Caenorhabditis elegans: one gene and its partner. The protein of the gene in region 2 purifies or fractionates together with the protein of the main gene of each other region. This does not show direct contact. Each region holds a gene or a part of one and is shown on either strand. Other genes may lie near its edges. The genes, in order: tiar-2 and F25E2.2.

Region 1 (11,771 bases), on a different chromosome or scaffold from region 2:
AATGTAGCCAGAAGCTTACTCTACAATACTTTCACCTCAAAACCCAAGATTTGTGAAAGAGAACAGCGCACGAAGCGGTGATTTGAAGATTGCGCCCAAAAAAGGGGGGGGGGGACATGCAATTTTCGATTTCACACTAAAGAGCCCACTTCTATAGCTTAAAGGGGTCGTAGAATTTTTTCAAAATACACGTTAAAAAGAGCTCGTCGAGTTGTATACACCCCTAAAAAATCGTGAAATAATCTCAAATATTCGAATTTTCCTTCAATTAAAACCACCAGAAAATGAGGAAAAATAGCGATTTTTGAGTTTCACTCAAAATATCTCGGCTCAATGAGCTCCTATTGAGATACGGTAAAATATAAGTTGCAGTTGAGAGATATTTTAAGCGATTAAAAAAAAAGAACTCGAATTTTCATCCATCCAGCGCCGAGCTATAAGCCGTGACAACAATCACGCATGGTTTTGGAAAAAAAGTCGCCGCTTTTTTTGACATCGCATGTCAAAAGTTTTTTCAAAAACACCTACCCGTGGCACACACGCGATTTAAGAGAGGAAAATGCAGATAAGACTAATTTTTATCAATATTTCTTTTGCTGCGACGTGAATATTAAAACAAATTATATATTTTTTTAAATTTACGTTTTGGATTTTAATTTCCAATTTTTTTCGGAAAAGTTCTAGGGAAAATTGGGAAAAAAATTGTTTTTTTTAAACATTTTTGCCAATAATTGGGCGGAGCTTAAGTTTAACGAATTCGAAAAATTCAACATTTACAGAAAAAAAAACTTACAACCTGACAAAATGACGGAATTCGAACTTCGTTCAATTTCAAAATAATTGACTTGTTTCTTTTTTCCCAACATAAATTTTCACGTTTTTTGAACCAAAAAACATTATTTCTTTTACGCCAAAATCAGGTTCCGTGAACTTTTTTTTTTAATTTTAGAACTTTTACAAGAAATGACACATGGGGTGTCCGGCAGTCCTAACACAGTTTGATCTACAAAAAATGCGGGATTTTTTTCTCAGAAAAATTGTAACGTCAGCACGCTCTTAACCCTGCGAAATCAGTTGAGAACTCTGCGTCTCTTCTCCCGCATTTTTTGTAGATCTACGCAGATCAAGCCGAAATGAGACACTCTGACACCACGTGATAATATTGGATTAAACAATCCGAATAATAGTGCGAATTGGTTGATGGGGACGAGAGAGCGTAGCCTTTCGGCTATATAGTAGGCTCTGTGCAAGAAGTGAATGAAAGTGAATGTGGATGCGTGAGAATGAGAATGATGACAAAAGGTGATTGCGAAATAGTAAAGGAAGACGAATGAGTAAGTGGCGGGTAGATCAAACGGGTAGATCAATAATAACTATCTCGGCAATTCGGCGCCACTTTTAAACCAACTTTGGCCACTTTCTAACTGCCATTAGATATCAGCCACTTTCCAACCAACTTTCGCCAACTTTTGCCACATTTGTAAATGGAAGTGGCTCAAGTTGGTTGAGCAGTGGCGCCGATTTACCGAGTAGACGAGCGCACGTGCTCGCTGGCTGTCTCGAAATTCACGTTTTCTCGCGGACGAGAAAACTTGAGAAATGTGAGAAAATGGCCTAGAAAATCCTGGAAGAGGAGAATTCCTCGTCCACAGCCAAAATAGCGTGTGAAAGAAGAGACGCAGACGGCAAAACGGTTTTTCTTGGCGTTTTTCACGTCCAGAGAAAAAAGTAGTATCTGCGTCTCTCACGCCCAATGGATAGCGAGAGTTGGCGCCAACGTGAATTCTCAATGAGGCGCATTTGCTTCAAAATTATGCAAAAGGACAGCCAGCGACCACGTGCGAGCGCTCTCGTGGTTGCTACAGCTACCGCGGTGGATCCGCGACACACAAAAACTATTACGGAGCCATCAGATCATGAAAATACGTTATATAGCTAGTATTTTTTTTCAATTATGTCTAAGCATTTTTACAGTTCATTCAATTTACAAGAAAAAACATGAATTTCAAACAGTTCCCCAGTTGGACTTTACATCGTTGATTGTCTCGTTATCGTCAGCCGAACGCTCCTCCATCTTTACTTCTGCAAAAAAAAACATTTTTAAGCAGCCGACAAAATCGAGGTGAGCGAATGCAGACAAAATTCGACTATTGCAATCGAGTGCCATCCTGGTGGACACATCGGCGAAAAATATCGAAGGCCCGCACCCTAACATGGCTGATGTGGAACCCACCTTTGATTTCTCTTTTGAGAAGTCTATTAGCATCTCCAGATCCTCCACTACCTCCGCCGGAACCGCCAGACTTGTTAACCAAGTTGGCTCCAGCCGGAGCCGGTGCTCCACTGGATTTTCGATCGAAGCCACGTGGCTTCAGTTTTGCCGCTTCGTTCTTCTCTTTCTTGCACGAGACGAGAATCGACGCGAGCACGGTGATGGATATGAGGAGTTCAATAAGCATTTTTTCAAATTGTCACGTGTTTGAGCGTATCCTGGAAATTGTCATTATTTCACAGATCGACTTTTCCGCACAGGTCCGGAAAATTGAAAACTAGGATCTTTTTCTCTCAAGATTTCGATCGAAAAATCTCTAAAAAGTCTGTCAATCGCAGGCCCGAGTTTTGAACGATTGAGAAAACTAGGCCATCGATTGTTTCGCTAGGCCGCGCTGTAAATGCCCGCCGGCAGGAAAGCATAAAACTAGGCCACCTATGTTTTTTTTCTAGCGGCCACCCAGCACATATATATATATATATATTTAAATTAACTCACACTTTGATAAAAATGGTTTATAACGCCGTCGGTTAGATTGTTCGAAATAACTAATTTTTGGCTAATTTTTATCGATTTTTTTTTCTGTTGCCCCTTGTACATTAAAACACATTATATTTTTTAAAAAAGGTTCACGTCTTGGATTTTAATTCCCAATTTTTTCCGGAAAATTTGCAGAGAAGATTGAAAAAAAAAATTTTTTTTTGAGATTTTGTGCCAATAAGTGGGGGGAGCTTAAGTTAAGGAGCTTAAATTCGAAATACTATTTATCTAATTTCGAATAAACAAACAAACAAATTTTTTTTTTGTGATTTTTTGAAATTTTCCGGCTCCATGAACATTTATTTATTTCATAAATAATAACTTTTACAATAAAAAAATGACAGGAAGTAAATAACATAGGACATTTTTATATTAGACAATTTTTCTGTTGCAAAAAAAAAATAGAAACGCGTGGAATTCAGGGGGGTGGGGAAGAAAAAAAAATCAATAAATTAAGGCAGATGAAAATATACAAAAAAAACGGGGAAATTGGGTGAAAAATAATTAAAAATGGATTTCTAATTCGTTAAAAAATGCAATTTTCTTGGGGAGAGGACAAATACAAAACAAAAAAATTCCGGAATTTTCAAAACATAAATTGCAAATTCACAGAACTCAGCAATATATTTAGTTAAACTGAAGCAAAAGATGTTTGGAAAAAATTTTAAATTTCCGAAAAATTCAAAAAATTGAAAAAAAAAAATTGTTGAATTAAGAAAAATTAAATTTTGTTTTCTTAAAAAAATACAGGAAAATAATTATTTTTGTATTAAATAACTATTTAAAAAATTCCAAAAATCCGCTCAATTTTCTGCATTTTTTTTCAGAAAAACAGGAATTTTACCAGTTTTTTTTGGGAAAAAAATGCTCAGAATTTCCAAAACAGGAAAAAATCAAGAAAATAGGAAATTTCAATGTTACTCAAAAAATGATTTTTAAAGTTTTATTGAATTTTTTTCCACAAAATGTGCTCAATTTTTGCTGGAAAAACAGGAAAATGATTATTTTTGTATTAAATAACTATTTGAAAAATTCAAAAAAAAAATCAGCTAAATTTTGTCCAATTTTTTTCCAGAAAAACTGGAATGTTACCATGTTTTTTTGGAATTTTTTTTTCAAAACTTCCAAAAACAGTAAAAATAAAGAAATTTGATTTTTTAAAGAATTATTTTTCCACAAAATGTGCTCAGTTCCCTCCAAATTTCTAGAAAAACTGGAATTTTACAAGTTTTTTTTTTTTTGGAAAAAGATCTTGCTGAAATTTAATTAATTAACAAAATAAGAAACGAATTATCTCAGAAAATTGATTTTTTAAAGAATTTTTTCCATAAAATGAGCTCAATTTTCTCCAATTTTTCAGAAAAAAAATTCACAAAATTTCCAAAAACAGCAACAAAAAAATTAAGAAAATTGGAAATTTCCAAATTTCCAAAAACAGCAAAAAAAAAATAATTTTTTCACAAAATGTGCTCTCAATTTCCTCCAGTAGATGAAGCTGCTGCAGCTGGTGGTGGTGGTGGTCCATCCTTTTGCCAATAATTATTCCATTGTTGCATCAAATGTGGATTATTGTAGTATTGCGAATAGTACTGCCAATATTGATTATTTTGGCCTCCACTTCCGCCTCCAGAACCACCATTTCCAGATGGTGGGGGTCGTTGATTAAAATTCGAAAATTGCGAATTTCCGGGTCCTCCGCTGCCGCCGCCGCCACCGCTGTTACCGTAACCGTAACCGTAGTTGCCACTGCCGCCACCACCGCCGGATCCTCGCTCGGATGGCTTTCCAGACTGAAATAAAATTAATTAGGTGACTTTTTGAGAAAAAATAGAAAATTTTTTTGAAAATTCAAATTTTAAAAAGGGTTTTATAAGGAAAATTTAAGAATATTTTTTCTTAAAAAAAAAAGCAATTTTTGCCAAAAAAATTGGTTTATTTCAGTTTTTTCTGAATTTTTCGGTTTTCAACAAAAAAACTGAAATTTCCAGCTTTCCGGAAAATTGGCAAATTACCGGAATTGAAATTTCCGGAAAATTGCAGGAATTGAAATTTCGGGCAAGTAGGTAAATTGCCGGAATTGAAATTTTCGGCAAATTGGCAAATTACCGGAATTGAAATTTCTGGCAAAACGGAAAGCTGGAAATTTCAGTTGTTTTTTGTCAAAATCTGTGGTTTTTTTGGATTGAAAATTCAGGTTTAAACAGAAATTTTTAATGAATTTTTCAATGTCTAAATAATTTTTAGCATTTTTTTCTTGAAAATTCAAAATTTTCCCGATTTTCGAGTAAAAAATGAATTTTTTAGAGAAAAAACTCTACAAAGAAGCTGCAAAAATAGAATTTTTAGTAATAAAAAAATTCCTAAAATTCCTAAGCTATATTTTTGATTTAAAAAATTGAAACCAGTATAATTTTTTAGAAATTTTTTATTTTTTTAAAAATAATTATTAGTTAATTTTTTAAATTCCAGTGTGTAGCTTTTTCTCGAAATTTTTAAATTTTTTTTTTCGAAAAATTAAGTAAATTTGTGATTTTTTTAATCCAATTTTTTTTTGAATTTTTTGGAATTTTCATTCTAAAAAATTCTGAAATAAAAGTTTAATTAAATTAAATTAAATTAAATTAATTTAAAATTTAACGGGATTTTTGAAGAAATTTTTTTTTTTTTTTTTTAATCCATTTTGGGTGATTTTTTGGGCATTTTTTTCTTCATTTCACCGAAAAAACCACGAACATCTCCACTTTTTCCCCAACTGCATCGAACAATTTGTCCTCCAATATCTGCATTATTCATCTGTACAATCGCCCGTGCCGCTGATTCTTTAGTCTCAAATTTCACAAATGCGTATCCCTGAATTTTGAATGTTCGTACTTCGTTGATTGGTCCGAAACGGTCAAAAGCTCGGCGAATTTCGTCTTCTGCAAAAAAAAAATAATTAATTTGGAGGATTTGTGGTGAATTTTTGGGGAATTTTTTCGACGGAAATTCTAGCAGCAAAAGTGCGGCAAATTTTTTGTCGACAAATTCGGCAAATCGGCAAATTGCCGGTTTGCCGAAATTTTTTTCAGTTCCGGTAATTTGCCGGTTTGCCGGAAATTTCAATTCCGGCAATTTTCCGATTTCCGGTTTGCCGGAAATTTTCAATTCCGGCAATTTTCCGGTTTGCCGATCTTCTAGAATACCTAGATTCCGGCAATTTTTCGATTTGCCGGAAATTTTCAATTCCGGCAATTTTTTCGATTTGACGCAAATTTTCAATTCCGCAATTTGCCGATTTAGGAAAGTTTTTTTTGTAAATATGAATCGGGGTAAACGATTTCTTCCGACAAATCGGCAAATTTCCGGAATTAAAAATTTCTGGCAAATCGGCAATTTGTCAAAAACGAAAATATCCGACAAACCGGCAAACCGGCATGATGCCGGATCTGAAAATTTCCGATAAATCGGCAAATTACCGGAAATGTTTAATTCCGGCAAATCGGTAAACCGGCAAATAGCCGGAATTGAAAATTTCCGGCAAATCAACAAATTGCCGGAATTGAGACTTTCCAGAAAATCGGCAAACCGGCGAATTGTCGGATTTGAAATTTTCGGCAAATCGGCAATTTGCCGAAAAAGAAAATTTCCGGCGAATCGGAAAATTGCCGAAAATGAAAACTTTCGGCAAATCGGAAAATTGCCGGAATTGAAAATTTCCGGCAAATCGGCAAATTGCCGGAATTGAAAATTTGCGGCAAATCGGCAAATTTCCGGAATTGAAATTTTCCGGCAAATCGGCAAATTTCCGGAATTGAAAATTCCCGGCAAACCGGAAAATTGCCGGAATTGAAAATTTCCGGCAAATCGGCAAATTGCCGCAATTGAAAATTTCCGGCAAATCGGCAAATTTCCGGAATTGAAATTTTCCGGCAAACCGGAAAATTGCCGGAATTGAAAATTTCCGGCAAATCCAAAAATTGCCGGAATTGAAATTTGCCGATTTTTCGACTAAAAAAATTGCCAATTTTACCTAAATTTTTTTGATTTTTTTTTGTAATTTTTAACAAAAAAAATACGCAAATTTTAAGTTTTTTTTGAAAATTTTTTTGAAAATTTCTGAAAACGAACCCCCAAGATTGGCAATATTTCCGACATAAACCGATGTATTATCAGCAGCAGCTTGATTAAAAATCTCATCATAAGTCTTTTCCGATTGATTATGATAACGATCTCTTCCACCGCCACCTCCACCTCTTCTATCACCACGATCACCACCACGTTCACCATCTTCATCAGGCTTCCGGGTGGCCCAGTTTGTTCGAATAGTCCGTCGGCCAAGCCATGCTCCATTCATCTCATCTATAGCTCTTTCGGCATCTTCTCGACGGGGGTATGATACGAATCCGTAGCCTTTTCCCTTGTTCGTATTGTTATCTGCAAAAAAAAATATTTAAAAATTGGTTGAAATTTAGACATTTTAAGGGAAAAAAAACGAAAAAATAGGGCCCACCAATTAGCGTTTTGCTCCGCCCACTTCCCAACCAATCGGGTTGAGTGGGGGGGGGGGGGGGGGGGCGGAGTCGAAGACGCTGATTGGTCGTACAGTTTTCACTTTTTTTTTCGTTTTTCCTTAAAAAGGAGAGAAATTCAAAAAAATTCAAAAATTGAGATTAAAATTTGGAGAAATTCGGCAAATCGGCAAATTGCCGGAAATTTTTAATTCCGTCAGTTTTCCTATTTTCCGGCAATTTCAATTCCAACAATTTGCCGATTTGTCAAAATTTTTGAATTCCGGCAATTTTCCTATTTTCCGGCAATTTTTGGATTTGCCAGAAATTTTCAATTCCGGCAATTTGCATTTGCCGGAAATTTTCAATTCCGGAAAATTGCCGGTTTGCCGAAATTTTGAATTCCAGCAACTTGCCAATTTGCCGGAAATTTTCAATTCCGGCAATTTGCCAGAAGTTTTCAATTCCGACAATTTGCCGGTTTGCCGGAAATTTTGAATTCCAGCAACTTGCCGATTTGCCTATTTTCCAGAAGTTTTCAATTCCGGCAAATTGTCGGTTTGCCGGAAATTTAGAATTCCAGCAATTTGCCGATTTTCCAGAAGTTTTCAATTCCGGCAATATGCCGATTTGCCGGAAATTTCAATTCCGGCAATTTGTCGAACCAATTTTCTTTTAAAATGTTTTTTCCGTAATTTTCTATAATCAAATTAGTCGAAAAATATTGATTTTTCCAGAATTTTCAATTTTTTTTTCAAATTAAAAAAAATTACCGCGAATAATTTTCGCCTCAGAAACTTCTCCGAACTTAACAAAAGCTTCACGGAGCTTTGTCGAATCAATTTCGGAGCACAAATCGCCGACGAAAACGTGAAAATGTCGAGAAGTTTCGGGTTTTGAGCGGTTTTCGCCCGGCTCGCGGGGCTCGAATGCCCACGTTACGTGCATTTCCTGAAACATTTTTTTGAAATTCTGTTGCAATTAGTTTAATTTTCAGATTTTCCCGGATTTTCCCGGGATTTTTAAGCCAAAAATTTCACTTTTTCCAGCAGCTCCCGCCCGTTGTGGCTCTGTAAAGCCAGCGTAGCCTGATTATGATCGGAAAACTCCACGAAAGCGTACGGATCGTTGAGTCCCTGCAATATTTATCTGTTTAAGACCCGGAATTTCGATGAAAAATCACTTCAAAAATAATTTTTGCCTTCATAACGGCGCCAATTTGATTGAAAAGCGTCGCGAGAAACTCGTCGGTTATCGCCGGATCCAGATTTGCAACGAATCTGCAAGCATCGCGGGTTTTTTATTATATTTTTTAATCTTCTTGCGAAAAAAAAATCCTACAAAGTTCTCGGGTCCTCGGAGCCAGAAGCCAGCTGAAAACCCTCTCGTTCGGCGATTCTCGCGTGCACACGGGGATTGAAGCCGTCTCCGTCTTCGCCACCTCCCGTGTAGAACGAAGTGGCCATTTTTTACAAAACTTTGCTGAAAAACGCGAAAAACTCGATAAAAATCCGGTAAAAACAAATAAAAACCAAAAATTAAATAAATAAATTCAAATTGTGCCGTAGAGCGCGCTTGCAATGTTTCAAAAAAACTTGTTTTTTAAAAATCTATTTTTTCCCTTTCTTTTCAACTTTTTAATCTTAAATTTAGTTATTTTTATTTATTTAATAAAGTTTTAGCCATTACTATCATTTTTCAATAAAAATTGCGAAATTTCTTATCACAATTTCCGATATAAATTCACTTAAAATCGATGAATCATGATTAATCATCAGTTGTCCGGTGGAGCGCACTTGCATACCCTTATATTTGCATTGATTTCCTCATTTTAAGAACAATTTCTAATCAATTTTCAATGAATTATTTTGATTTTTATTGTTATTTAGTGCTTTTAGAAAATTTTCCCGCTCTGGAACTCTATTTTTCTCTCATTTCTCACCCAGAAATCAATATTTTATCGGCTGTTACGAAATATTCCACTTTTCAGATGGATTTCCTGTTCGGACGCCGCAAGACGCCAGCCGAGCTTCTTCGACAGAATCAGAGGGCTCTGAACAAGGTAAATTATTGAAAAAACTGAGAAAATGAACTGAAAATCATGAAAAATTCAAACTTTCAGGCCATCCGAGAGCTGGACCGCGAGAGAGCTCGTATGGAGGCTCAGGAGAAGAAGGTTATCGCGGATATCAAGAATATGGCAAAGAAGAATCAAATGGACTCTGTAAAAGTGATGGCCAAGGATCTGGTGCGAACTCGTCGTTATATCAAGAAATTTATCGTTATGAAGGCAAATATTCAGGTAAAATCACGGAAATTGAATTAAAATAAAACAAAAATCTCTAAATCTCTTCAGGCGGTCTCCCTGAAAGTTCAAACCCTGAAATCGCAAGATGCGATGGCGTCGGCGATGAAAGGAGTGACAAAAGCGATGCAATCGATGAATCGGCAGCTGAATCTTCCACAAATCCAGAAAATTATGATGGAATTCGAGAAACAGAGCGAAATCATGGATATGAAGGAGGAGGTGATGGGCGACGCGATCGATGATGCTCTTGGAGACGCCGGCGATGAGGAGGAGACCGATCAGATCGTTAATCAGGTAAAAAAGCGAGAAAAACGCGAATTTTGGCTTAAAAAACTCATCATATAAATGTTTTTTTTTCTCAGGTTCTCGACGAGTTAGGCATACAAATGGGCGAAGAAATGGCCGGGCTCCCGTCGGCGGCCGGTGGACTCAATGCTGGTGGAGAACGGATCGGCGGTCGCCAAGCTGTTGCAGCTGGAGGTAGCGGTGGAGCTCATCATGGAGCCGGTGGAGCCGGTGGTGGAAATGATGTTGACGATGATCTTCAGGCCCGTCTTGATCAGCTTAGAAGAGAATGATTCTGTTTCTGATTTTTCATTTCTTGTAAATTTATGTGTATTTATTCGATTTTTTCCTCAATTTTTCGCCGAAAAATCCACAAAAAAAATGTATGGCAAGCAATTTATTGTCGAGAAAGCACAGCATGGGAATCAATTTTTTTTTAATTCGAGAAAAATAATTTTAAGATAGTCTACACTGCAGTCGTAGTTGGGAAGAATCGGCGAATCGTCTCGTCTCTCTCGTATCTCTCCTTGATATGCACTATTTCTTCGAGTGGAGCCGCCGATGGTCTCGCCTGGAAAACAAATTTTGTTGGAAAATCGATAGTTTGAGGGGGGGGTGGTTACTGTACCTTGGAGCTGCTGCTGGACTTGTTGGGGGAATTTGTTCTGAAAATGGGAAAATTATCGATTTTTCGGAAGAATTTTTCTCCGGAATTAATGGGATTTCTAGCTTCCCTCATAAATTGAAATGGAAGAGTTTTCCGAACTAGGCCAATTTGGCTGGGGCATATCTGGGGTAGATTTACGGCGCGTTGCGTGTTGCGTCGCGGCTCGATTTTAGTTTTAAAACTAAATGATTGTCAATAGAGCGCGAAAAATTCAATGAGGAAGGCCAGAACCCCGTGGCCGGAATCAGAAAAATTTTAGAAAATATCGATTTTTCTTTGAAATTATCGATTAATTCATCGAAAAATATCGATTTTCTCACCTTCCAGACGGGCGTCTCTTTGGCGAAGACGGGCGGTGCGATTGTTGGTAGGCTCTGCAAAAAAATCGATAAAACTTCAATTTTCAGGTATAATTTACCGTTCTTTCTCTGGATTATTGTATGGAATGTGCACTTCAGATGGGGTATGTGGGGTACTGACACCACGTGATAGGTACCTTGACTTCTCCACCCTGTCGCTTGGCGTTTTTGAGATTCCTCGGGTGTAATGTAGCTCGGGGGTCTCCGAATTGCGGGGTAACCTGGATTTACTACTATAGGACTACTGTATAAAAAAAAACTTACGACTTTTCTGATGGGGTCACCGATTTGTGGGATCTATAAGACGACCGCTCGGATTGCTGATAGGCTCTGAAATTTGGATTACTGTAGGGTTACGGTAGGTTTTGCTACTGTACCTCTCTTTTTCAGGGTTATTGTAAGGAATGTGAATATCCGAGCACGGAGTTCTAGAAAAATTTGGTTTTTTTTTTAAATTTTTGGAAATCTACCCTACCTCTCCGACCTGGAATCCTGATTGCTAGGAGTCTTGGAAATTCCCCTGAAAAATTATCGAGGTTTGCCGAAAGCTCCCCGAGTTAAAAAAAAATTACCTGGTATACGGTAAGTCCTCCTCCCTAGCCTGATGATCCCCCGGAAATCGGTTCTGCTGACTTTTATCCGCGAATCTGGAATTTTCGATAATTTTATCAGCAACTGAGCTCGGCAGTTTCAATCACCTTCCATAATCCAGCTCCTCCGGGCTTTGGCGTTTTGCAATCGGGCTGAAAATTTTTTTTTTAATTTTTAGAAATTTCTCAAAGCCTACCGAGTATGTGTAGTTGTCACCGGGATACGGACCTCTGATGGGCTTCTGCAAAAAAAAACCGAGAAA
Region 2 (10,115 bases):
TGATTTAATCTGACTAAAACATGCTGATTTCAGAAGAGAATACACATAAAAATTGCGGTTCGCGTGTATGAGATGTGTATTCAAATTTCGCCACAAAATTTTAGTACAGTAGGGTAATTTTTATAATTTGGCAAAATTATTTTTGGTCATTGACTTTAAAAACTCAAAATTTCTAAAAAAAACCAAACATCGTAATAATTCTTTAAAAAATTTCAAATACTTTATAGTGGTTTAAAGATATTGAAAAGTTTTGTAGATAAATCTAAAAATTTTCTGACTTGTGCGTAAGAATAAGTTGCCAAATTTTCACGTGTTATCAATGCTGTTTTTGGTTTTTCAGGACCCAGTTTTTGCTTTCCCAGTTTGAAATTTATTTCCATGGTTGCTAACTGGACTAAACATCATTGTGAAAAGCTTAACATTTCAAAAAATACAGACAAACTGTTACTCATGTGAAAGTCAACAAAAAGTCTTGTCTACGAAATTTATATTCTCATAATATTCTTATTGTTTATACTTAAATGGACTTCAAACCTGCAACAATTCTTATTTTAAAAAACAAGTTTTTCCTAGAAGCATTTTGCCAAAAATGTGACAGGAAATTTTAAAGAATTTAAGAATCTTTGAAGAGTTTCATGAAGGTTTTTTAAGACTAAGGTCTCTTTTTTAAAAAACATCTCTAATTTTGAAACGAGAATTTTATAAAAATAAATTGTTAGTCAGACCTGTCCTGCTTACCAGTGAATGGCCAAAACCCAGAGTGGCCATTTGGCAAAAACTGAAATGGTATTCTTACTCCTGACAACCTCAGCTTTCGAATGACATACGTCTCGAGCCAAATGGCCACTCTGGGTTTTGGCCATTCCCTAGTTAATTTTTTATTTGTTTCTCTATTTTTAAATCAAACAAAAAAATCGAAATAAAAAATCCTACTAAACGTGAGTGGCAAAAAAATAACACAACAGAAACAAAAAACCATGTTCCATGATGCAATACTGTTACGACGACCGTCGTATAAATATTATTTTGATCTACCTTTATTGATCTGCCCTCGTGTCTTTGTAGTATGCACTTTCCCACTTTCCCGCGTCTTTCCCCCTTTCCCGTTCACCCCTATAAAAGGAGATGACTCGTTCATTTCTACACTCTTCTACTGGCCTAAGAGACTGTTTTACCCTTATCTCCCTACCTTGCCTTTAGCCCTTATTGCTCTATTGTTTCTAACTATTTTTTCAATAAATATATGATCTGTGATCATAACAACTGGCGATCAGGATGAGATATATGATCTGTGATTATAACAAATACACAACAATATTAAATTGAATTCCCATAACGGCTGTTCTTATCTTCAATAAACCGGACCACAAAGCCCACAATCGATCAAGAAGATCCGACTCAGAATATAAACATATTCAAAAAAATCGGAGGTATAAAGATTCCCGAAGACACTTTCCAATTACCCAAACTGTTCAAATTCTTGGTAAAATCTTCTTACTGGAACACTCATGACATAGTAAACTGTTGGGTCATTTCCTCCATGGTTACATTGAACCAATCATGATCGAGCAAAAAGATCCGACCCGTACCAATTGTTTTTCAAAAGTATTGGAGGTTTGTGGAACAGTTGGATAATAGTCGAAGATTGATAGTTAGTTCTCTGACTGATTGGGGACCGGAAAGATAATCACTGAATAAAAAATGAGAAGAGGAAAAAATAAGGAAAAAAACCTTGTTTCCGTGTCCTTGTTAAATAGTTTAAAATTTGTTTTTTATTGTTTACATTAGGAAAAACTTCCTGTTTTGTTAACAAAATCCGGTAAATAAGTTTTACGGCAATTCACATTGGTATCTAGAGTCGTATGGGTAGAAAGAATCGTATTCTTCTTTATAAAGAAAAAGTGAATATCACATCAAACTTGTGTCGTTGCGTCGTTGTTTATTTTTGTGCGATCATATTTTTTCTATAATAGTTATTTTAATTTAGCAAACACCCAATGCCTGAAAACAGTTTTGAAATGTTTTATTTTCTGAGTAATACATATCTTGGTCGTATCTTAATTGTTTTGTATTCAAATAGTATTTTAAAAAATATTTTACTTCTTGTATAAATTACAAATGAAGTAGCTACTGTTTTAATGCAACTATTATTTTCCCCTGCCAATTCCCTCTTCGCATTCCGCTTTTATTCTCCCTGTGCGATTATCGCGCAGGGGTGTTTGTTGCTGCGTCTCTTGTGTGGTCTCATCCGATCGCAAGCTAATTGTTTCGTTAAACCGATACGCGCAGGGAAAAAAAAATACGCAGCTGAATTATGAGAAATAGTACAGGGGTCATTAGGAACACAGCCGTGGCAGATTAGATTTGTGTATTAAAATTTCTAGAAAGAGAAATTATAATTTTTAGATTTGAAAAAAAAGGAATTATATTTTTTCATCACAAACGTACACTCACTTCAGTTGTAAAATAAAACATTTTGAACTTTTTTTCTTGGCTTAAACTGTACAGCTTCAAGGTATTAAAAAATATTTTGCAAAATTTTTATGCGAAAAAAAAACTATTTATGATCCATTACTTTAAATTAAAGTCTACAAAACATCCCACATCAAAGATTAAATTAAATTTCACACTGTGGTTTCAGGCAAGCTCCAGAAATTCTAGTTGACAAAATCGTTGAAACCGATGGATCTGGAAAATGATCATATTTTAATTAAATTTGATTTTGAATAAAAATAAACTTACGTGTTTCGTTGCAAATATCGCACGTTTTTGGGCACAACGCTCTCACAATTTTTCTATTAAACTCTTTCTGATCTTCACATTTACAATGGTGATGAGGGTGTTTTGCACATTTTTCACACTTGGAGTGAGAGCACTTTTCACAAGATTTCGAGTTTATTGGGCAATCCTGTTCTTTGTTTTGTTCTTTCTGGTGTGCAGGTTCTTGTTCTTCCAAGCTGAAATTATTTAAATTTATCTTGAAAAAAAAATTCAAATCGTTTTTGATCGGATGTTATTCTTTTGCAAAACGGTTAATTACAAAAAATTTTGACTACTTCCTTTTCTTACCAAAACCAAATTGGAAATGCTATTGTTAACAGTTTTTTGTTGAAAGAACTTACAAAACATGATCTATGAATTCCAACATTCTCGATCTATTTTTCGGATTCGTCGAGAACTTCTTCACTGCTTCTTTCAAAAACTTTGCATTTTCTGCCTCCGTATGGCAATAGATTCTTAACTTGTCACAATCTTCCACAAAATCGGTGCACTTCTTCAAAGGAGCAGCAGTTGTCGTTGCAATGGTAGTTGGAATTGAAGTAGTGCTGGTTGTAGTTGGGGCTGGGGTAGTTGTGGTAGTAGTTGGTTTTTGAGTAGTAGTTGGTGCTGGAGTTGTAGTGGTTGTTGTAGTGGTTGTTGGCTTAGGAGTTGTGGTAGTAGTGGTGGTAGTTGTAGGTAGAGGTGTTGTTGGAACTTCTCGTTTTACAGAATTTCCCTTTCCATCTTTCCCTGAATATTTGCCGGTGGAAGTTTTTTTGATAATCATTTTTGTGCGCATGAATGAATAATGTTTTTTTTTTCAAAAACTTTACAAGGGACACTTACACTGCTCTACCAAAAAACACTATCGATGTCCGAGATTAAGAGTAGTACATGTTAGACCAAAAATAATCCCACTGAAAAAACTCATTAGAATCAGGTAAGCTATGTCACTTTTTTCCAAAAAAATTTATTTTGGATCTACAGTGAAAACTTCCAAAATTCGGACACCAATCAATTATAAATTCTAAACTTTTTTCTGGCTCTAAAATAACAATTTCATCTCATAAAATACCTGAAACAATATTGCTCCACTGCTGTTTAGTCGCTGTCAACCACTTCTCCACTTCTTCTCTTGTCATCATTTTTACGATATACCCAGCAGTTCCATTCAAAGCACAATGCACGTATTGGTCTCCAAATTGTTGAATTGCATTTACCGTTATCATTTCCTTTGAATAAATACACCCGACTTGTGTCCACTTAAACTCGACAGTTCCATCTCGATTAATGCTAAACCCACAGGATTCCAGGCGGTCTCCGTTTCTAGCACGATTTTCAAATTGGATGATATCGCCGGATGTTGTTGTGCAGCCCTCTCAAAGTTAAAGATTTTGGTTTTATAATTATTACCAATCATTTTCAATAACTCGGTAGATTCTTTTAATGAAATTTCCTATTTTTCAATATAGTTAGATTCATAAAACCAACGTCGTATAAAGCGAAATGTATTTGTATTGAAATAAAAATACAGAAAATAACCACGTTTTAAAGTGATTACCGACATAAAATCATTATCGAGTTCCAACCTGTATATAGTCTGTTCTATGTGATATGTCTACCCCGCTTGTGCAGTGTAGGGTGAGTTCTTGTGTGTAGCATTTTAGCCTCTATGCCTAGCCACAAAACGGTCGGTAGCTCATTGGTATTTTTTTTATTAATTTCCTTATGACTATGCACATTAATATGTCACCTTACAACATAATTTATGTTTTTTTCTTGTGCGATAACCCGAATACCCTACTAAATATGTTATGCAAACTCACTCAAATCTCCGAATGATCGAACTTGTGTTCCTTGAAAACAATAAAAAGCGTTTCCATCAACGTAGCGAATTGCATACAATGGAATAAGGTAATTTCCAACAAGGCATCCTTCTTTCTCCACTTTCCCGAATTGGCATGCATAAACCGTGGCACCATCTTCCGAGTTCCATTCCTCATTGTGCCTGTATACTTTTCCATTGTGTCTGCATCCGAGTTCTAATAGAAAAACCGTAACAAAAGTTGTAAATTTTCATTTACGATTTACCAGTGACTTCAGCTTTTCTCAGCACACACTTCCCCTCAACCATTGCACATTTGACAACTGCATCGTCTACAGTTCCGAAATCTTCTGGTCGAATGTATGTGTTCTCTGCAGTTAAGCAGGCTGGAATTAAAGTTGTAAAGTTGGTTAATACGTATCTTTTTAAGTGCAACCTGCAACTTCTACAACAAATGAGCCATTTTCCGATTTTTTGCATTGCATGGTAGATCCCTTTCCAACAACTTTGTTCTCTGAGCCAATCTGAGTTAAATGGAATTTGGAAACTGGATCAAATTTGCAAAAAAAATTATGAAGAACTTGAATCACGTTTGATCCAAAATCCAGTTGATCAAAGTTAATAGCTTACACGCCAATTGTCTTTGAATCTACCCCAAAGTGTTACTACCAAATATTTTGTACCGGTTGTTTACATCTTTACCTATCCTTAGTATTCACTTACGCATATCAAAACATTGAATCAACATATGCGCTAAAAAACATAATTTGAAACTGTTAGAAGAAATACAACTAAATAGATTTTTGACATTCACTCACAATGATAACATCTTCTCGTCTATCAATCCATGTAGCTCTATCTCCATAAACTTGATCGCCGACTTGACATCCAGCAGCTGAAATGTTGAGAACAATTTTACAAATCTGATAATTCATCTTCATTGTTAAAAATTAAACAATTACAAAAGTTTGCCATATATGTAGTGATAAAAAAGATTATTAGGGATCATACAATGGGAATAATTGAAAAATTACAACAGATGGATGCATTAGATTTCAACATCACCATTTGGTCGAACGATGACATAGTTAGCTGGCACAATCGCATGATAAATCATGTATTGCTCACTTGTTTGGTGATTCAGCTTGACCTTGTTGCGTTCTATGAAGCATGTAAATGTTTCTCCATCTGGGAACGAGCGGGTTTTTCCGACTGGTAGAACTTCTCCTACGGGGTCGAGGCAGGCTGCAAAGTTATGTAACTGCGTTTTGTGTATTAGATTACCAGTTAGCCAAAATTTTAAACAGGGGTACATGACTAACAAACAAAAATCTCCTGACTTACTCTTCACAGAGTACTGAGCATTAGTTCCATCAATTACACAGTGATACTTGAACCATTTTTCGTTGTGGGTCTCCCACTGTTGCAAAGTGACACCGGTGAGATCATTCGATGGTTGGCATCCTAAAAATTTATTTTTTTTTCTTTTTAATTTTCTAATTCAAAACCCACCAGCAATATTGTAACCCTTTACACTTCCACTTTGATAGCATTGGTACTTGATATAGTTTTCCACAAAATAACTTCCCGGATTACAATTCTCCAGGTTAATTGGAGAAATTGCAGCTGAAAGTGGAAATATTCCGAAAAGTAGGAAAGTAACGATGTTCATGTCGAAAAGACAGGAATGAAAATTTGGGGAGCTGGGATGGGTGAGGGATGTCAAAAAGTGCAGTAAAGAATGCAAAAAAACATGAGGGGAACAGAGATGTGGGGGAATTTAGGGAGAACGATTTATCAACCGATCGGACATGTCTCTGCGAGTATCAAATACATCTCTGGTACATTTATTATTGATCGGGCTTTATTTAAAAAAACAAAATGGGGAGCTCATAGAGCTCAATTATATGACAAATGTTTATTTTTTAATGACAATAAATAGACCATAACGAGACCACAGTCCTGAAACTTCTCAAACTAGGGAAACAGTTTTCTGCTAGTATTTTTTTTCCTAAATTGTTTTACTACGCTAACGCGGATTTCTTGAAAGCTTCGAATCTTAGATGCAGGCTTTCTGGTGATGGTACTAATTTATTGTTAAGTAACTTGGTACTTACTTTTCAAAATTCTAAACATTTATTCATTTTATAGTTATCAAAATTGAATATATATACACAACCAAACAAAATATTCAAATATTGTCAAACTTTTGGAGCTCTGACAAGTGCTTCTTGAGCAGTCGAAATGATAAGTCGACCATCACGAGACCATAAACGGCCTTCAATAAATGCACGACTTCCACCTAGAATTTAACGCCATTTCTTAAAAAATATTTTACAGAATTTTATACCAGCTTTTGAGCTAATTGTCTCATACAGCATCCAATCATCGATTCGAAACTCATTTTCATGCATCCAAATACAATGATCCAGGGAAAAAGACATTGAAGGGATGAATCCGTTTCTGATATGAGGTCGTACTGCCGTGGTGAGCATGCTCAAGTCGGTGAGGTAAGCAGCGACGCACTGATGGAGACGGTGATCATCTCCTGAATCATAGTATTGAAAACGAATTATTTTGAACTTCTAACCCAAATTCTCTCTTGCTCGAATCCAAATCATCGACATTGGCTCAGTATCTTCTTTAAGCAAGTACTTGGCTGGGTTGACCGGGCGAACATCAAAAACTCGCTCAAAAGCATCTGGAATTTCTTTCAAAAAATGTTGGATGACACCAGCGGTGACTTCATCGACTTCTTTCGTGCGGAGCACTTCCAGCGCTGCTTCTCGAGCTGGCTGGAAAATATATAATAATGGAAAGTAAACCTAGAATTGCAGTGTAATGTTATTATATTTTTTAGTTATATTTCAAGCTTCCATGGGAGGTGGGCCTGTTTTCAGGACGTGACGCCTGCCTCTAACCTGCCCGCCTCACGCCGGCCTCTCGCCTTATTTTTACGCCATGGCGAACAATCAAAGGCTTCATGTTTGCACCAAATAGTGCCAAAGGTGGTTCTTCCGTCGCGGCACTATACAGAAAGCGCGTGGCAGGCGTTTTGGTGCCTGCATGGAAAAACTTGATTGTTTTGAAGCAACCTACAAGCAATTGTTCTGGAGGTGTTACTTCCGGCATTTTGGAGCTATGTTTAATTGCATCGGGTTCTTTCTGAAAAGTATCTCTTTTTTTATTCTCTGTTCCATTTCCCCAGCATACATGATGGAAACTAATTTGGCAAGAAAAAATTGCCTCTCCATCCTGCACAGCCTTCACCACTCGCGTACAAAAACTTCTTCCGTCTCGAATGCGGTCGATCATGTAAAGAATCGGTTTGTCCACACTCCCTGAAACACACAACACAACAGTTGCCGTCTTCTGTTATCAACTGACCCGTCTTGATGAAATAGCTATGTAATGAGTGAGGTATGAAACAATCTTCCACGGTGGCAGCTGCTGCCGCCAACGATTGACCAACAACCTAAATATTTGAGGATGATCGGTGGGAACTGATATATAGGATTTGGAAGTTTATATTGAAAATTTGAGTTTTCTTACCTGACCGCCATAAACGGCATTGTAGGAATGACGACCCTTCAACAAGTGGCGAGCGCTGCAAGAAAATCTAATGTTCTCATGTTTTGTGATGATCGAGTCAGGAATTGTGCGACGTGTGATGTCACATCATTCAAAAATATATTATAAGCAGAGTCAAAGACTTTATTAATAATGCACATGCCTGAACACTTTTTACACTTTTAAGGATATTTTTGTAGTGACTGTTCCGAAAAATGTTTGAGCTGTCTCCGAGCACCAATCAAAATGTTGTTGAGCAAAATTTGAAAATACATCATTTTTCCAACACTTACATGTACAGATTGGTATCGATTCTCTGTAGATTCAGAAAAGTATCAATGAGCCCTGCTTTTATATCATTTGCTCTTGACTCAAACTCGATATGCTCCACGTTGCACAAAGGAGTTCCCTAAAAATCTTTCAAATTGCAATTGAAACAAACCCTAACATACCTCGGTTGGTGCTTTCGGTTTTGCCATGATCAATCTGAAAATTGAAAATAATAGTTCAAATTTTCAACTGTGTACGCGAAAACATGTTTTGAGAGACGCAGAAGTTTGGGGAGAAAATCATTGAGTGGAGATGACGAACAAAACAATAACGACGCAACAGTGTAGGCTAAATGAGACTTTGAAAAAAAACTAGAACAGGAAGTGATATCTAATAATTTGAACAGTTTAAAATGCATTTGCTACTAAATTCAGAATTCATACTGTTCAAAACTTCAAAATTTAAAAATATAAAAAAACCGTTTTTTTTTTTGAGAAATTGCATTTATAATAATTTCAGAAATGCAGAAAATGCATATTGAGTTGCCAACCAATGATTTATAGTCAGAAAAAGCGGAAACTGGAATTTTGTTGCCTAGTATAGTGTGGCCAAACAAACAAAATACATAAGACCTCACGTGTACAGTTTATCAGTACATTATTACATTTCAAAGTGATCAAAGAGGAACTTCAAATCACATACGCCTGCTAGAAAAAAAAAACACCAGAGCTGCTATATAAAGAACAACTAAAAAGGCTTTTGCGTTTCGAAAAAAGTGTAGAAAACCCTGCCCCAGTGACGTCACTTTTTTCAACCATCATCAAGCCTACATCTTCTTCATAATCAGGTTTCAGAAACAAAAAGGGAAAGAGTACCAAAAAAAATTTTTTTGAATTATTTTTGATCTACATTGGTAAACTGAACACCCCACCTTCATCCGATTAATGGTTACATAGAAAGTAAAATAAAACATTTTATTCGTTAATTCATAAAACATATAAATAACATGAAAATTGAGAAAAATAAATTCTTCAAACTTTTGCAAGTTCAAGCCGTACATTTGAACATGGGTGGTTTGAAATTGTGAAATTACAATACTCAAAATTAACAAAAACATGACAATCGAAGTTGTTACAATAAGGAATCGTTGTATGCCGAACCATAGGCGTGGTAGGAAGTTGTTCTAGGGCCTGACTGTGGCAAGGGTGGCGGTGGAGCATTATAGGTCACGTGGGTTTGAACTGTGGTACGGAGGTGCTCAGCGTTTTCCATTAGTTTGCGGTAATGGTTGATTTCGTTTCGCAAGTTCTGGAAATTATTAAGGAATTTACAAATTTGTGAATTTAAAACTTTAAATTTTGAACATACGATCTGGTTCTCTACTAATTTGTCAAGTTCCACTGAAAGTTTTGTGCATTCCTCTCTCATTTTAATTACTAGATTTTCTTTTTCATTGAGTGCAATTTCGAACAATCTTAGATTTTCCTTGTCTTGGAAGTGCAAGTCGTCGATTCGTTTGATAAGTTGTTGATTCTGAATTCAATAACGTTTCAACAAATGATCCCAAACTCCCAAACTCACGATAGTTTCAGAATCTGAAAGCTTTCCTCGGAACTCGTTGACAATCGACCTAATTCGAAGAATCTCTTCTCTTGCCTGGTTTTGTATTGAGCTATAGCTTTCGGATCCC

The links.
Region 1: the proteins of F25E2.2 (region 2) and tiar-2 fractionate together in Caenorhabditis elegans (co-fractionation; one large-scale study listed by BioGRID). This does not show direct contact.

The regions. Positions count from the first base shown.
Region 1 is NC_003280.10:12,765,736-12,777,506, reverse strand, and holds tiar-2 (RRM domain-containing protein), read right to left. Parts: upstream 8,822-11,771; 5' UTR 8,766-8,821; coding exon 8,641-8,765; intron 8,580-8,640; coding exon 8,483-8,579; intron 8,436-8,482; coding exon 8,340-8,435; intron 8,251-8,339; coding exon 8,073-8,250; intron 7,226-8,072; coding exon 6,920-7,225; intron 5,731-6,919; coding exon 5,546-5,730; intron 4,603-5,545; coding exon 4,285-4,602; 3' UTR 3,093-4,284; downstream 1-3,092. Other genes in the region: Y46G5A.14 (uncharacterized protein), read right to left, coding at 2,006-2,082, 2,234-2,459; vps-2 (Charged multivesicular body protein 2a), read left to right, coding at 9,290-9,361, 9,422-9,601, 9,656-9,901, 9,970-10,185; cnp-2 (Calcineurin-interacting protein 2), read right to left, coding at 10,359-10,463, 10,521-10,557, 10,880-10,933, 10,978-11,139, 11,183-11,248, 11,296-11,346, 11,394-11,438, 11,491-11,565 and 2 more.
Region 2 is NC_003284.9:804,467-814,581, forward strand, and holds F25E2.2 (Abnormal cell migration protein 18-like fibronectin type I domain-containing protein), read right to left. Parts: upstream 6,329-10,115; 5' UTR 6,258-6,328; coding exon 6,098-6,257; intron 6,050-6,097; coding exon 5,930-6,049; intron 5,831-5,929; coding exon 5,714-5,830; coding exon of another isoform or gene 5,634-5,713; exon of another isoform or gene 5,509-5,633; intron 5,481-5,508; coding exon 5,404-5,480; intron 5,110-5,403; coding exon 5,022-5,109; intron 4,972-5,021; coding exon 4,852-4,971; intron 4,803-4,851; coding exon 4,587-4,802; intron 4,139-4,586; coding exon 3,836-4,138; intron 3,511-3,835; coding exon 3,123-3,510; intron 2,958-3,122; coding exon 2,743-2,957; intron 2,689-2,742; coding exon 2,618-2,688; 3' UTR 2,525-2,617; downstream 1-2,524. Other genes in the region: F25E2.3 (Acyl-CoA thioesterase II), read right to left, coding at 6,787-6,887, 6,936-7,133, 7,176-7,380, 7,685-7,750, 7,799-7,926, 7,973-8,060, 8,138-8,192, 8,449-8,564 and 1 more; Intermediate filament protein ifd-2, read right to left, coding at 9,557-9,733, 9,794-9,958, 10,007-10,115.